Coturnix japonica: one gene and its partner. Each later gene encodes a partner of the first gene's protein in a complex. Links are inferred from orthologs where the notes say so. Each region holds a gene or a part of one and is shown in the gene's direction. Other genes may lie near its edges.

The links. Proteins that work in one complex are often made in the same cells at the same time.
Region 2: the proteins of ESPL1 (region 1) and PTTG1 are in contact, whole or in part, in a cryo-EM structure (PDB 7NJ1), measured with the Homo sapiens proteins. The link is inferred for Coturnix japonica from reciprocal best matches to the Homo sapiens genes ESPL1 and PTTG1. Residues at the interface, in NP_036423.4 of Homo sapiens: His402, Thr405, Val406, Tyr409, Ser461, Asn462, Tyr465, Tyr468, Arg505, Arg508, Glu512, Glu544, Thr547, Phe548, Arg551, Gln590, Lys593, Ala594, Val595, Arg596, Thr599, Gly600, Arg603, Gln634, Cys637, Tyr638, Trp683, Ile686, Glu690, Ile697; in NP_001269311.1 of Homo sapiens: Tyr111, Pro112, Glu113, Ile114, Glu115, Lys116, Phe117, Phe118, Pro119, Phe120, Asn121, Pro122, Leu123, Phe125, Glu126, Ser127, Phe128, Asp129, Leu130, Pro131, Glu132, Glu133, His134, Gln135, Ile136, Ala137, His138, Leu139, Pro140, Leu141.

What each region holds. Positions count from the first base shown.
Region 1 is NW_015439867.1:541,804-545,908, reverse strand, and holds the start of ESPL1 (separin), read left to right. Parts: upstream 1-1,305; 5' UTR 1,306-1,901; intron 1,902-2,529; 5' UTR 2,530-2,536; coding exon 2,537-2,617; intron 2,618-2,704; coding exon 2,705-3,736; intron 3,737-3,876; coding exon 3,877-3,981; intron 3,982-4,105. UniProt on the Homo sapiens protein: Caspase-like protease, which plays a central role in the chromosome segregation by cleaving the SCC1/RAD21 subunit of the cohesin complex at the onset of anaphase. During most of the cell cycle, it is inactivated by different mechanisms.
Region 2 is NC_029528.1:9,901,552-9,905,771, reverse strand, and holds PTTG1 (securin), read left to right. Parts: upstream 1-1,420; 5' UTR 1,421-1,540; intron 1,541-1,783; 5' UTR 1,784-1,804; coding exon 1,805-1,886; intron 1,887-2,168; coding exon 2,169-2,344; intron 2,345-2,687; coding exon 2,688-2,781; intron 2,782-3,241; coding exon 3,242-3,391; intron 3,392-3,723; coding exon 3,724-3,803; 3' UTR 3,804-3,874; downstream 3,875-4,220. Other genes in the region: pre-mRNA-splicing factor SLU7, read right to left, coding at 702-855, 1,001-1,164. UniProt on the Homo sapiens protein: Regulatory protein, which plays a central role in chromosome stability, in the p53/TP53 pathway, and DNA repair. Probably acts by blocking the action of key proteins.

The sequences.
Region 1 (4,105 bases):
CGGTTTCGCCGAGTCCCGCCCACCTCCTCGTAGCTCGCTGCTGATTGGCTCCGAGGCGGGACGGGAAGAGCAACGCCGCCTCCCATTGGACGAGCCACTCGTGGCAGGTGAAAGACGCGCTGCGATTGGTCCGAGGGTGGCATCAACTCTGATCGCTGCATCTCGGTTGGGATGAAGTTCGGAGCTCAGTGACCTCGAGATCAGGCATTTCCAAGCGGGACAAGAGTTCGGCCCGTTGTCTGTTAAATCATTGTCTGTCAGATCATTGTCTGTCAGCCCATTGCCGGCCCATTGTCGGCCCATTTTCGGCCCATTGTCAGCCCATTGCCGGCCCACTGTTGCTCCTCCACCATCACCCCCAACACCTTATTCCGAACCCTCTGATCCCCCACAACGGCTCCTCTTGTCCCAAAGAGAGCCGTGACAGCCAGAGAAGCTCTTAAGGACATCGAAGGGGAACGTGCTGGTGCCCTCTGTTAACATGTGATGCTCTCTGTTAAGGTATTGATGTCTTCTGTTAAGGTATTGATGCTCTCTGTCAGCCTTTAGTCCAGTTCTGCCCGCTGTGTGGATCCCATCTCACGGGCTCCACCAAATCAGTGCAGTTTTCCTGTTGTTCGTGTTTCTTTTCATAGAATCATAGAATTTCCCAGGTTGGAAAAGACCTCGAAGATCATCACGTCCAACCTCCGCCTAATCATAGCACCATAACTAACAACCCTCTGCTAAATCATATCCCTGAGCACCACATCCAAACGGCTCTTAAACACATCCAGGGATGGCGATTCAACCACCTCTCTGTTTAGCCTATTCCAGTGCTTAACTACCCTTTCTATGAAGAAGTTCTTCCTAACATCCAACCTAAACTTGCCCTGGCACAACTTGAGGCCATTTCCCCTCATCCCGTCACTTGTTGCTAGTGAGAAGAGACCAGCCCCACTCTCACTGTAAGCACCTTTCAGATACTGGAAGAGGGTGATAATGTCTCCCCTCAACCTTCTTTTCCCCAGCACAAACAGCCCCATCTCCCTCAGCCTCTGCTCATAGGGCTGATTCTCCAAGCCCTTCCCCAGCCCTGCTGCCCTTCTCAGGACCTTCTCCAGCACCTCCATGTCCTTTTTGTACTGAGGTGCCCAAAACTGAACACAGCACTCGAGGTGAGGCCTCACCAATGCTGAATACAGGGCAGGATGACTTCCCTGGTCCTGCTCACCATTCCTGGTACAAGCCAGGATGCCATTGGCCCTTTTGGCTCATATTCAGCCCACTGTCCATCAGCACAACAAGGTCCCTTTCCATCAGGCAGCTTTCCAGCCACAACACCTCAACCCTGTAGGGCTGCCAGGGGTTGTTATGACCAAAATGCAGGACCCGACATTGGTCCTATTGAAACTCGTGCCGTTAACCTTGGCCCATCCAGTTCCCTCTGCAGTGGATACAGCAGCACACGCTGATAAGGACACGTTATCACACGTTGTGTGCCCGTTCCTCCCGTCCGGGCTGTGTGGGCAGCGCTGAGCAGCGATAACATCCCAAGGACGGAGCAGCGCAGGGGAGGGACGGGGCGGCAGCGCAGCCCCATAACGGCGGAGCTCCGTTCCGTTCTATTCCATTCCGGTCCGTTCTGTTCCGGTCCGTTCCGCAGCTCCAGCCTCACACAGCCCCTCCTGCCGGGCCCGACCCGCTCCGCTTTCCTCGGTCCCGGTCTCGGTCTCGGTCTCGTTCTCGGTCTCGGTCCCGGTCTCGGTCTCGGTCCCGGTCCCGGTTCCGGTCCCGGGGCGGAGCTCAGCACTACAAGTCCCGGCGTCCCCCCGTTGCGCGCTGATTGGCTGCGGGACAGACTTGAATGGGGCGCGTGGCGGGGCTGGAGCTCAGTTAGAGGCGGCGGCGGCGGGGACGGAGTGAGTCCGAACCGGGGGGAGCGGGGGGTTTGGGTACCTATAGGGGGGGTGGGGGGAGAGGAGGGATGGGGGAGAAGGGATGGAGGAGCCTGCGGGGCCCTGGGGGCTGGGAACGAGGAGTTGGAGGGAGCGGGTGCGGGGGGAGTTTAAGGAGGCCCCGGGGTGGGGGTGGGGGGGGCAGTGGGAGTCTGGGGCGTTAGGATAAGGGTGGTGTAAGAGTGGGGCTGGGTGTGGGGCTGCGGTCAATGAAACGGGGAGCTGATGGCACAGAGGGGGCTTCAGTCCTTGGGGAGGCTGAGGATTGGGAATGGGGGGGATTGGCGAACCTTGGGGGGGAGAGAAGAGCCTGCTGGGTGGATTGATGTGGGGGGGATGGATGTGTGCCCTAAGGAATGGCTTTTGGAGGAGAGAGGGGGGTCTGATACCTGAGGGCCGCTGGGGGGCTGTGGGGTGGTGGAGAGGGGGGGTGGGAGAGAGGAGAGAACGGGGCTCAGGGGGTCCCTGAGCACTGAGAGGGCAGCCCTTGAGTGGTGGGAAATGGGAGTTCAGGCTGGGGGGGTTTCACGCAGTGGGACATCTCTGCCCCCCCCTTCCTTCTCACCTCACTCCCCCATCTCTGTCTCCCCAGTGCTGCCATGAAACGCCTCAAAGGTGCCAACTTCGTGTCCCGCACCGCCAGCCTGGAGAGCACAGAGGAGCTGCTGACTGAGCTGCTGGTGAGCTGAGGGGGGTTGGGGGGGTCCCACCTCTTTGCTGAGCGACCCCTGATTGCACACTCGTTCCCTCTTTCTGCTCCCCTACAGCAATGCCTCTCCAGCAGCACAGCAGTGCAGGGCAGTGCACAGAGCACAGTGTGCGACCGCATCCTGCGGGCCTGCGTGCAGCGCGTGGGGGAGCCCAGCTGCGACCTCACACACACCAACGCAGTGATGGCCTTGGCCGAGGCAGCCTGCAGGGGCTTTGTCTGCAGCAGCACTGCCCCGCCGACCCCTCTGTACCTGGAGAAGATCCTCTTCCACCTGCTGAAGAACATGGCTGCCCGTGGCTATCGTGACGCCTGCAGGAGGGCAGCGGAACTCATCCTCGCTCAGCTCCGCGCTCACCAGCAGCACCACGCGCCGTCACCCAACTTCAGTGCTATTGCCCACAGCTGCTTCTCCACGCTGTGGGGCACCAAGGGGACGCTGCGGGACCGCCTGCAGGCCCTGCGCTTCGTGCTGCTGCTGGAGGATGAGGAGGGGGCCGCGCTGCCCCTGGTGCCGCCCTTCTTCACCTCGCAGGTTGCCCGGCAGCTGGTGGCTGTGGCCTCCACTCTCTCCAAAGCCTCCCAGGCTCCGTCCTTGTCTTGCCTTGGCCGGGAGCTGCAGGGTGTCCTGACCTCCCTCCGTGAGGACATGGCGCGGCCGCCCTCTCTGCCGCAGGCCCTTTGCTTGTTGGAGCTGCTGTTGGAGCAGTGCCGGCAGCTCTGCAGGGGAGGCTGCTATGGGGAGGCGGAGGCGGCTGTGAGAGATGCACGAGGATTCCTGGGGGGCTCCAAGGTGTGCAGCGAGGCCCTGGCCCTGCTGGAGGCTGGCGTGCAGCTGAGCCGGGTGCTGGCCCAGAAGGTGGGCTCAGCAGGGCCGGCCCTGGCGCAGGCAGCGGCAGCGCTGGGTGGTGCAGGGAAGGTCTCGGGGCGCATCCTCAGGGTGCTGGCTGAGGGCTGCCAACTTGTCACCATGTCCCTCAGTGAACGTGCCAGGAGCAGCCAGCAGCAGCCGCTGCCTCCGGAGGATGTGCTGCAGCTCTGTGCCTTCGTGGAAGGGCACTGCCGTGTCCTTGGCCTGCTGCTGGCCATGGTAAGGCTTTGGGGGTTAATGAGAGCTCTCCTGTTAATTAGGAGCGCTGGAGGCCTTGTAGCCCTGCCAGCAGTGTCCCGCTTCCCAATGGTCATGCTGCTGTTGTGGCCTCGCAGTTGACTTTCTCCTTCCTCCTTCAGGTTCCTCCTGATGGCACAAAGCAGCGGCTTGTGCTGAAGCAGCTGCTGCACCGCAGCCTCCAGCTCTTCACCAGCTTTGCCTGCGATACCTTCCGCTCCTCCCAGGTACTGCTGGTGATGGGGGCAGCATCCAATGGGGCTCACAGAAGCTCCTGGAGCTGCCCCAGAGATGTGCCCTCAGTCCCTGCAGGGCTCTCCATGGGACCCCCATCCCTCTGACTGCATCCCT
Region 2 (4,220 bases), on another chromosome or scaffold:
AAAAGAAGACAGCGTTAAACATTAAACAAACACATGCTAAGATTCATCTGTGTATTTCTCCCAGCTGACTTATTTACTTTTCTAACACAACTAAAGCACACATGCTCCAACCAAACTCAAAAGGCCATTTAGGTGACTACCAAACACTGGGTAATGAATCATAGAATCATAGTATCACCAAGGTTGGAAAAGACCTAAAAGATCATCCAGTCCAACCGTTCACCTATTACTAATAGCTCCCACTAAACCATGTCCCTCAACACAACATCTTCCCTTGAACACTCCCAGGGTCGGTGATTCCACCACCTCCCTGGGCAGTGCATTCCAGTGCCTGACCACCCTTCCTGAGAAGTAATACTTCCAAATGTCCAGCCTGAATCTCCCCTGCTGTAGCTTGAAACTATTCCCTCTGGTCCTATCACTAATGACACGAGAGAAGAGGCCGACCCCCAGCTCACTACAACCTCCCAACATAACTCAGGAAGTTATGGAGAGCAATGAGGTCCCCCCTGAGCCTCCTCTTCTCCAGGCTGAACATACCCAGCTCCTTCAGCCTCTCCTCATCTGCTTGCTGTGTACAAATTTCCAGTTCCTGTCACCCTCCAAAGCATATAACCAGATCTTGCAGGGTGTCACTGACTTATATCTTATTGCATAGGAATAATTAAAAGCTTTGTTTTAGGACAAAAGCATCCCCATACCTCTTTCACTCCCCGTTTGTACCAGTCTCCTGAGGAGCTGTACTGCTTCTGCTTCTCTGGCTGAGGCCTCTGATGCTTTAGCGTAGGTCTTTTGGAAGGATCTATGTACCACGGGACCGAAGATATGTACTGAGGAATGTGAGGGTTGATATCTCTGTAAAAGGAGATATGAAATTAATACACGGCACAGGAAAAACCACCGCACAATTTAGCTTAATTAACCTCATGTTAAGCTCAGCTTCACAACTCTGTAACCACATAAGCCTACTTTACAAACCGAGCTGTGTTACAGAACTTACTTTCCTTCCTCATCCACCTCAGCAGGCGCGTTCCCCAGCTTCCTCTGCTCCTCCAGCTCCTTCTTTTTCCTCCAATCCTCCCTCGTCATCTTCTTCGGCTCCTCCATACTCACATCTCCCGGCCCTCCCGAAGGAGCCGCGTTTACCGCCGTCCCAGACGCCATTTTACTTCCTCCTAAAACACTAAAAAACCGCACGCGTTCCGAACCGAACCGATCCCACGAGCCTCCCCCCGGTTACCCCTCATAGCCCAGAGCCTCCACCCAGCCATACCGGGCACAACGACCACCCAACACCCCAGCAAAGCCCACCCGGTCCCGCACCTCCACTCCCTGTTTACCAACTAGGCCGCACCGAGACCCCGCCCCTTGACTGCCAGGGCAACGAGGAGCCGGAACTCGGTAGTCACCAATGGGGCGGCTGAGCGTTAATCGAAAGCGGCCTATGGGAGCAGCGGGGCGGGTGTAGAGGCTGGTTGTGCTTATCGCTATCCCTGCTCTTCTCCTCGCTCTGCTGCTCCCAAATCGGCTTTTCCCGCAGGTAAGTGTGCTGTTTTTCCTCCATGTTTTCTTTCTGGCCTGTTGAGCGATCCTTCTGCCCTAAAGAAGGGCGGGCCTGCGAGGCGTTGCTTGGCCGCCCAGTGCACGGTGCCGTGTTATCAACCGCCATATCTAATACTGGCCCTGTGCTCAGTCCAAGCTGCCATCATCATTCCTAGCATACATCAAAAACTTGCTGTTTCTATTAGCAAGAACTGCCAAGATCTTCTGTCTGCCTTTCCAGGGTGGTCTCATCAGCCCAGAGATGACGACGCTGATCTTTGTGGATAAGGAGGATGGTGAAGTTGGTGCTACTAAGAACCAGTTAAGACGCCCTTCGGTATCATGTGAGTATATGCTCCATGGAGACAGCGTGGGATGGAGTAAAGTGCGTGTCCTGGGTTTTGTTAATCACTGTTTTGAACAGGAACAACAAAATGGGTTAAGCAGATAAATAGTAAAACTAAGTTTATCAGCTATTACAAATATGAAAATCACCTGTCTTTTGAGCTTATACTTTTGATCTAGAAGTGGAGAACAACAATTAGCTTTCTAGCACACACACTTCATTAGAAGCAAGCTTTAGGGTTGACAAGGTGCTAAAGCTTGCTTTCCTTTCCTGTCTGCAGCAAAAGCCTTATCAGAAAGAACACAAGTCAATACTCCACTTCTAAAAAAAGCAATCAGAACTCCAGCCACATCTCACTCTGTCAGAAAGGCTCTTGGAAATGTGAACAGAACTGTAGGAGTTACAAGCAAGAAGGAACAGAAGAAAGATAAAAATCAGCCTTGCAGTGCAAAGAAAGTGAGTACAACCCTTCTGTAATGGATGGGAATCAGAGGAATGCATGATGTACCTACAACAGCTTAGGGAACACACAAGGGCAATGAAGTAACTCTAGACAAAATATTGGCTGTGTTACTGTCTTGTTCATATTCTATTTAGTGGGAGTTTATTGTTATGAGCCTAAATATCATACTGCAGAGATTTGTTGCCACTGTGTACCATCATACAAGTTCAACTGAAGCATTTTCCCTTTTGCAGCTTATTTGTATCAAAGGTGTTAAAATCCAGGTTTACAGGCACAGAAAGGGTACTACACTGAGAAAACACGACAGCACAAATAACTTGACTTCTTCATTTTAAGGTTGCTGAAAAGGCTGTTGGATTAGCAAGCTGGGATGGAGGGGGTGATGAAGCTTACCCAGAAATAGAAAACATGTTTCCTTTTGATCCTCAAGGTAAGAACTCTTGGGGTAATTATTAAAACCTAATTGGACTTTGATTAAGTGTTGATGCTGCAAGACTTCCACTGAGCTGTTGTGGTGACTAAGCTGGTATTACATTTCTCCAGAGTCCTTTCTTAAACATAAGGGCATTCAATATTTTGGAAGCATGACCTTGTTCTTGTTTGAGTGTTTTAAATATACGTATTGCTTGATATAGTTGACACAGCATAGGGATTAGAAAAATTCCTTAAAACTCTTGCTTTATAATGACTGTTACATACACTTCAGATAAGCATTAGCATACAAAATTGCATGGACACTAATAAGTAACTGTAACTAAGCACTCCATAAGAAGGAACTGTTGGACTGAGTTGTCCTGGAACTACTCCCATTTCACTTAATCAAGGACAACTTGCAGCTTCACATGCTATTGTGCGCTGTTACTAAACTACAGCGTGTCTTTCCTAAACAGACTTTGAGAGTTTTGATGTTACTGAAGAGGATAAACTAAGTGATATCAAGCTGCGTGGTGTTCCTCTCATGATATTCCCAAGTACTTATGACAAACCTGTGGACCTAGCTTCTTCACCTATAAAGCTTGAAAAGATGCCATGGGAGTCTGGTAAGTGGAAAATTAGCCTGAGGTTCAGCGCATATTAGTGATTTAGGAAGGAAGTGAGTTTGTTGCAGTAGTGAACAACTATTGCTCTTGTAAGTGCAAGAGCAGGATGCTTATCTCAAAGAGCACTCTGTATGTAACTGAGCTGAATTTAACTGGTCATCTCTACTGGCATGGGTAGTGGTCTCGAAGCTGCACTGCCATGTAACTTTCTGTAATATATTTCTAACTCATCATAGCCATTCAAGAGGCTTATGCTAATCCACCAGCAGCCAGCTGGAGTGTAAACTTCTGGATTTTATGAGTAATTGATCTCCTCTATTTCTAACTTTCAGACTTGCTAGAACCACCTGCTGACTTCATCTCTACGCTGGATTACGTCATTGATATGCCGCCTATGGACTATGACTTCTAAAAAGCATACTCTGAAGTTTCTGTTGAATTTTATGTTTATAAATAAAGGTTACTTTAACTTGTGAAATAAAACTTACCTTGCTTTTTCTTTCAGTAGAGCTAATATGCTGCACACCCAAGATGTAGGCATTTTACTATCTGACAGGCTATTAAAACAAAACTTAGTCTTGCTTAAAAGCTCATCTATAATTCAGTGTTCTGAACTGTATCCAGATATTAATATATGAATCTTCAAGTCACAAGTATAGATTCAATTTCTTAGCACTGTTATTGTTCTAGTTCTTTTCAGTAATCATGGAAAACAAGTGAGGTTTAGAGGTGGCATTATTCATAGTTGCCTGCTGTTACCACAGTGGATAAAAGTTGGTTTGAGGTGCTTAATGAAAGCTGGAATATGGGGGCCCTCACTACAAGAAAG